Linked DNA regions of Drosophila melanogaster. Changing the gene in region 1 together with any one later gene gives a genetic interaction. Each region holds a gene or a part of one and is shown on either strand. Other genes may lie near its edges. The genes, in order: mirr and fng.

Region 1 (3,922 bases):
AAAAATGTTAAGGGATAGACGCATTTTTGATTACAGTATATAGTTTTTTTAAATTAATTTTATTGTCAACTTTACTTTAAAATAAATTACCAAATTTTTGCAATATTTATTGATATAATATTACAAAAATAAAAAATATAATATTATTAATAATTTGGGAAATTTTAAGACATATTTTTCGGTTGAAAGTATTAAAGTCATTCAAGACAAATGTGAAATTTCAGAAAAATACACTCGTAACCCCATGTTAGTGACCTTATTACAGTGGTTGGTTAAACATTTATTCTGGCACTATCAATCCATTAATTTTCATGAAAACTTTTCCCCATGGAAAGGAAAACCGCCCAAATAAATGACTATCGAGAAACTAATCGTTAATGTCGGAGCAATGGAAAAGGATAAAGCTGCTGCTCGGCGATGGTGACTTCATTTAAATGTTGTAAGAATTTGTTTACTGCGTGTGCGACACACAGCTCAGGTGGGGGCGGTAGATGTGCGGTGGGTGTGGCAGATGCAGTGGCAGGGGCAGGAGCAGGGATAACCACCGATTGCCAGGAACGACAAAGTAGCTTTCAAATGTGCTCAGCACTCAGATACATATGTAGCACATAGACGCCATCCCGCTCTAGCAGCTGCCGTCACTCCTCTCGAGTGGCGTTTCAATTAATTAGAAAAAGTTAAAGAAACGCCACGGCAAAAACGAGAAGCGAAGTACGAAAATACAAAAAACAAAAAACAAAAAACAAATACCTACATAATAAAATGTAAGAGCGTATGTTGTAGCAGCAAAAGCAGCGACGGCAGCTGCGGTGGCGATTTTTGTTCTTCTCGTTTTTTCTTCTGATTTTTTTTTTTTCTTTTTTTGTTGGAGCAGCGCGAAAGATGCCACCAATCCAGCCAAAGAGCCAAAGCGGTCAAGAGGGGCGGTGCAGGGGGTTGGTTGCCAAAGGGATGGGGTAATGGGGGAGGAGGGGGTTTCTGGAGGGGAACGGCCGTAGCAGCGACTGCGGCAGAGGCGGATGATAAAACATTACCCATCGCGTTTGGCCCAACCTCTTCACGAGTCTCGTCGTTCATGTTCATCAGGCTTTTCTTTTTTCATCAACGGCGAAAAGCGAGAAGCGAGCGTAAACACTTTGCTTTCATACGTCGCGACATTCGTCTTGTTGTTGTTGTTGTTGTTGCGTTGTTTATGGCAACAACTACACGTAGCAACACCCACGGCAGCAGCAGCAGCAGCAACAGCAACTGCGGCAGCAGCAGCAAGTAGCAGCGTTGCAACAGCAACAGCAGCAGCAACAACAGCAGCAACATCATCGCCGACAACAACAGCAACAACATCGCCTACAAATACATACATCGGCATTTACAACAACACGCAATAACAGCCATTTTTCTAGTTGTTAAGTTAATTTTTTCATGTTCTGCCGCTCTCGGTGTTGCTGCTGCTGCTGCTGCTTCTTGTCGCCGCTGCTGCTGCTGCTGCTGCTATGCCATCTCGCTCGCACGCCAGCAAGACGACAGCCAACGCGAGCAAGTTGCGATACTACCGCTGTCGCTGCCGCTTGGTTGCGATTCGTGGCCAACGGCGCAGCGGCTATAGCCATCCCGCTCTCGCCCGGCCGCAGCTGGCAGATACTTTATTTATGGTCACACAGGCGGTAGATACTTTTTTTGTTGCCCCCACCCCTCCACCTAACCAACTGGTTTGCTGCGTCTCGCTCGCACTTGCAGCGAGATTGGTGGCTACGTTTCGGTAGGGGGTTGAGGGGTATCTACCGTAGCATACCGATTCCGATGCCGATTCCAATCCCAATCCCCTGAGTGCCACACACAGCCGGAGCGCCAGCCCACTTATAATGATAATCATTATTGCCGTTGTTGCCGTTCGTGTTGTCGTCGTGCCGCCTCGTTTGCTACTTTTTCCAGCGCACACAGATACTTTTCGCACGCACACCAGCGCACAGATACTTGGCCGCTCTCAAAAAGAGCAAAGAGAGCGCACGCACACCAGCGAAGGTGCGAGTAAAAATTAAGGGGAGAAACCCGTTTGTGCGCTCTCTCGCTCACACATACAAACGCGGCGCGGGCTATGTATCGATGTGGTGGTGCGTGGGCCTGTTCTTGTTGTTGCGCTGCGCTGTTTTTCGATTGTCGGTTGTCGTGTAATTCCCATTTGTCGTACACTTTGTAGTTGCTCAAGAAACTCATGTTAGTCTACTTTTGACTGTTACGCAGATTGTTCGTATCGTTCGTGTCCGCCGCAGTGCCAGTGCCGCAGTGTGAATAATAGTGCTCTCTGCCCGCCGCTCGCCGTCGTTCTGCGAGCTGGATTCAAATTCAGTACCCAGATTCAGAAACAGAATCAGATTCACACCCAGATACTACTATTTGCTGCCGCCGCCTCTGGTTCATTCGTGCTTCGTTTTCGCATCCTCCGGATAGAGCTGCTCCTCCCGAATACCGATTCTACCAATTCTACAAATTTAAACGACTCACATAAACGATTCCCGTCGAGCCGCCCGTCGGATTTTACGGATTTACGGTGCCCAGTAGCGCCTGTGTTGGCCAGCTAACTCGAGTTGGCCAGCTCCTTGCAGCCGTCGGCAAGTGCAACGCAGTGCAACGAAACGAATAACAAAAAAAAATAAACACAGCCCAAAGAAAGTAAACACTGAAATAGCTCGCAAGCCGGATCCAAAATCAACATAAAAACTAGTTCGGATCAATCACAAGATCACAGATCGCACAATCACAATCACTTCACTCGGATTATAAATCTATCTAAATACACATACGTCGGTTCAGTGCGCGAGTCCATCGGTGCATCGTAACTCTAAGATTTGCTTTATAGTTTTAGTTAAAAGCAAAAATTAATATTAAATGACAGTGCACAGTAATGAAACCGGTATCTGTTTAGTAATGGTGCGTATATCAATTTGTTTTTTTTCCCCCATTTTTTATTACTTGTAAGATGGTTCAGTTAATCGCTGCATTTTAGCTTGTCTGGCATTTGGATAGTGGCAATTAGATTGAAAACCCGTTCAGCTACGAGGCAAATCAGTGCAACACATGTAGATAAAAGCAGAAACAGTGGGATTACTCTGGGTTCGAATACCTTAGCATTTTGATTTGGCAAACGGAAGACATGGATTTAAAAATAAAACAGATTGAAAATGTCAGGACCACAAGTGTGCTACATTGGGCGAACAACACGCGAAAAACCGTCTGCCAATTCGGAAAATCTCTCTTATGCATCAATGTCTCTTTGGTTGTTAACCAAGCTGGCAAGGTCACCGCACATCGTGCTCAGTCACACTTGAGTGTCCAATAGGATTTTAGCCATAATAATCCCTCAGTGGTAACACGATCCCCAGTTAATATGGTATCCCTGTTCCAAAAATTTAATCGCTTGCACTCGACACTCGAGCATATTCATATATTTTCATATATGTATGTAAAAGCAACTTGTGGCGCAAAGTCGAAAGCTGAAACGGAATATCGGAAATATTAAATGCTCTTTAAACAAACATGAATGGCTGTCACTCTACCCTCGCCATCATAATGGCTACCCGAAAATAATTTACTTTAGCCGCAAAACGACCACTTCGAGTTGAGATATTTGTTGTGTTATAGTTATAGCCTGTAGCCATAGATAGTCGATAATCATCGGCGGTTGATTCAAAGAGCCGCATTGATAAGAAATCGTACGAGTGTATTGTGGATCCATCCAGCCATCCGGCAAACACCGGGAATTAATTTTTAATCGCATAGGGCCACTTGAGTTGTCACTTGATGAAAGCACGAGACGCAACACCGAACCGAATCCCAACTGCAACAGCAACATCAGCGACAACATTGTGGCGGTATCAATCACGACCGATGATACAACATGCAGCACTGTGACCGCCGGCCTGCGATA
Region 2 (3,922 bases), 8.3 Mb from region 1:
AGATCTTAAAATGGTTTGGGATGTGTAAGTCCGAGTTGAGCACTGAGTCCGTGGCAACGCCTTCGGTTTACATTTTACAATCCTAACAAGGTTAGGCCGCCCGATAAACGGAGCTGCACTCGTTTGGTTATAAGGCTAGGTTGTGATCTGGGCTTTTCAGCTGAAGTTGCAGTTGAAGATGCAGTTGAAGTTGCAGCCGAAGTTGGAGGCTGGGGATCGGAACTTGGAACAGGCAGCTTGCAGCTGGAGGTGGCACATGCCTAACCGGCAACCAAGCTGCTATGCAAACACACACACACACACACACTTATACGGAGCGGAATGGTGGCCATGGCTACGAACTGTACATACGGAATTGCACATTAAAAATGAGCAATGGGAGTGGGCGGAATACGGAGGAATGGGAAGTGGGTTCCGAGGGTTTCGTGGCAAGCGGGCGGCTGATTCCAGCCGAGCGATGTCTTTTTCTGTGGCAGAACAAGGTTGGAATGGCCTGCGTCGCCGCTACCACCGTCTCTGCACCGGTAGAAAAATCATACTGACATAATAATAAACTAATAAAAATAATTAAAACACTGTGAAGGCCAATTGATTTTGCTTGCTCATTTGGGTACACACAATGGCCACTTAAGTTAAACAGTTTTAAAGCCCCTGGGTAATTGTCGATGGTTCTAAATTTATGCTAAGCTTTTGTATTTAAAGGGCTCAGTCTTAAATAATCTAAAACATTAAACTATTAAGGGTTGGATAGATTTTTCAGCTGACACAAGGCGATAAAAGTTTACATTTTTATGCTGTTCTCTTACCGAATTAAATACGAATTCACTATTTTCTTGCAGTGCTCCGCCGACTCTGCTTAATGCAATTCAGGCGAAAGGCGCACAAAGGGACAGCGAACAAGATGCCGAGTTGCTGATTGTGCGGGCAGCGCAGTCGACGCGGGCAGAGGTGTCCGCAAAAGCTTTTGTCGCCGCCACAAACATGGAATATGACAAGCTGGTGAGGAGTAGGATGGGATTCGGATTGGGATGGAATGGGATCGAGCTGAATGGGCTGAGAGCAGCAAGAGGAGGAGGAACGGGAAGATACTGCTGGATGGTGCCTGGCATGCAAAGCATTGTCAAGTGGGGAGCAGGCCAAGTGCTACACAAAAACCGAGCGACAAAGAAACGTCGCAGAACGCTGCCGACGCACGTGAGATGTGGATGCATTTGATGCACGGAGCGAGAAAGGGATGTAGAAATTAGTAGTTTGAAATTATTGTAAAAGAATTCTTCTGTTTGTATTTTTTAGTTAAATTAATTACTTATCCATAAATACACTGTCTAACTATTTCTAAGCCACTTAAAGGTATAATATAATCTGAAAAGACCTCTCTATTTGAAATAAAATTTCAATGGTAAATAGAGGAGCGGCTCTTGAATGTTTAAATAAAGTTTAATGCTTGCACTTTTTGTTCCAAGTGCATGATTTAAGAGTGTGTAGGCTTCCCTGTGTGGGCAGGGTAGGGAAGCCAGGCGAAAGAGCGATGGAGAGAGCGAGAGACAATGGCGACAATAAAAATGCGATCGCACAACATGCTCCACAGATAAGTTAACGCAAAGTGACAACGTACAACTTTTAATGGAATTGTCGTCGCCGACGGTGGGCGGTGGGGCGTGGCAGGGTAGTCAGGAGGGGAGTGGGGGTATATATGACATAGCCAAGAAGTCACCGCATTTGGAGCGCTGCCAAGTCAGTTGAACTATGTTTACTTTAAGGATACGGCCGCCACCTGGAAAAGGGACCTTCAAAGGCTGCCTTACACGATTCCGAATCCCCGATTCCGATCAGAAGTGGGCTGAGTGGGGGTCGACACACGAGCACATGAAAATTGCCTTCGGCAGCTACTGTGGCACAAGCTAAAGAGAGAGGATGAGAGCGAGCGCGATCGAAGAGAGAGCGCCAGCTGCTCCCATTGGAGCAGCTAACGTTTCCAATTGGACCAGCTCAAAGGGAATTCTCTCTCTCTCTTTCTCTCTCGCTACTCTCACCGCTTACTGGTCTTTCTGGTTTTTGTTTTGTTTACGATTTTCGCTGGAAGAAGAGAAGAGTAGATCGCGCTACCACAATCAGTTGCTTTTCAAGCTTGCCACAAGCAAGACGTCAGTGCGCGCGTGCTGCGATATCGAAATCGAAATAAACTTAAAAGATATCGTAATTTCAGAAATCGAGCAGAATTCATACGATCCAGGAAAAGAACCAGCTAATATTGGAATATAAAACCTACCCAGTGATCAAATCGGCGGTGCTTCAATGTGCGCGTAGTGGTCCGTAACCGTATGATGAGCCTGACTGTGCTCTCGCCACCGCAACGTTTTAAGCGAATCCTGCAAGCCATGATGTTAGCCGTCGCCGTCGTCTATATGACCCTACTGCTCTACCAGAGCGCCTACGGATATCCGGGCATCCAAGTGAGTTGCGAGTTCGAGTGGGCGACATAATCCAGCTTGCGTGGGTGTTGTTAGCGCTGCGAAACTGTCAAACGTGTGTGCTCCGCACTGATCTGCATAAGTTGCAAAGCTGCAAAGGCCAGGCAATTTGCATTATCCCCCTTTGATTCCGATCCCGATCGACGTCGACTCGTGCACTTTCATAAATCAACGCCGGCGACTTGAGTTTTGCAGCTGCGGCTTTGGCCGTTAAAAAAACCTTTTACGCCCTTGCCTTGCATATAAAACAGTTTCGGTGCTTGGCTTTTTGCGCTTTTATACCCTAATAGGGGGTATCATAATTGAACACAAATTTCGGCGAGGAAGCGTTTTAAAAGGATATACCCTACGATTGGTGATTGGATGGGGATCGGTATCACGGGGAATTCATTTGGAACTAAGGACTTGATTGCTTTAGAAATTGTGCAGAAGTTTATGTAGAGGTAGTGCCTAGCTTAGTGGTTTGTTTCAAAAATGGAAATATGATCCTGAATTTATTTGTTTTTTTTTTTTACAATTAAGCTTATATTTGATTGATTTAAGGACAAGAGAATGTAATTCTGTTAAAGTTGATGTTCAAAGATCGGCTCGCATTATCGAGACATTATTAAAATCCTAAAATCATACCATTAGGCACTTGGAATATATTTTTGAAAATCACCAATACTTTCCAATTCCCACAAGAGTATTCCCAGTTTCGATTACCGAAGATCCAGTCAACCGTTCCTGAATTTCTTGGTTTGCCGTCGGCAGAGCGTCGCCAAAGCTTTCAGTTGCCTGATTCCAGGGCCTGTCAGGGTTCTGAGCCCTGTCTGCTCTGCCCATTTATTATTGTTCTCTTCTTACTCTTGATTTTTGCATAAATTTTTGTGTAATAAAATATTGTGTGCTAATATTACCAAGGTGTGCGCTGCGAGGGGGGATCTCATGGAGGTGAATCTCAATGGACTCGTCCAGTGGAAAACCTTGTCAGTTGCATCACAGATAACAAATAGTTGAGGTCCGTGGGAATGGCCTTAGTTAGCCTCCTATTGCATTGCAAACACTTTTTGGCAGGGTTTTATGCGAACAGGCTATTTTTAGAACCCTTGAAATTCGAACTATGTGTCCACCTTCTAGGATTATCATATTTTAAAAACTTTAAATGAAACGACGCCATAAGAAAATAGTGCACATATTTTTAATCAGTTGCATATACAGATTCCTCAAAGTTTTCTTCCAACATTTCTTTATATAGTTCGATTTTTGTTAAATGAACCCTACTGCTGTAGTTATACCTTCAACTGTTACAGCTCCCTAACTAAGGCTTACAAATTTCATAATATTAGTGATTCGAGCCGCTGGCAATAGAGTTAAGAGCTCATAATTGAATCAGCTGCAGCATCCTCAAAAATATCCATGTAATCCCCTTGCCCTTCACCACCTTCCGGCTTCTCAATTTGCAACTCAAT

Evidence for each region.
Region 2: of mirr (region 1) and fng, changing one suppresses a phenotype caused by changing the other (phenotypic suppression), as found in Drosophila melanogaster (one study listed by BioGRID).

What each region holds. Positions count from the first base shown.
Region 1 is NT_037436.4:12,691,429-12,695,350, forward strand, and holds the start of mirr (mirror), read left to right. Parts: upstream 1-2,210; 5' UTR 2,211-2,883; coding exon 2,884-2,925; intron 2,926-3,922.
Region 2 is NT_037436.4:20,947,701-20,951,622, reverse strand, and holds the start of fng (fringe), read left to right. Parts: upstream 1-2,110; 5' UTR 2,111-2,321; coding exon 2,322-2,453; intron 2,454-3,922. UniProt on the Drosophila melanogaster protein: Glycosyltransferase involved in the elongation of O-linked ligands to activate Notch signaling. Possesses fucose-specific beta-1,3-N-acetylglucosaminyltransferase activity; extends the O-linked fucose on the Notch EGF repeats.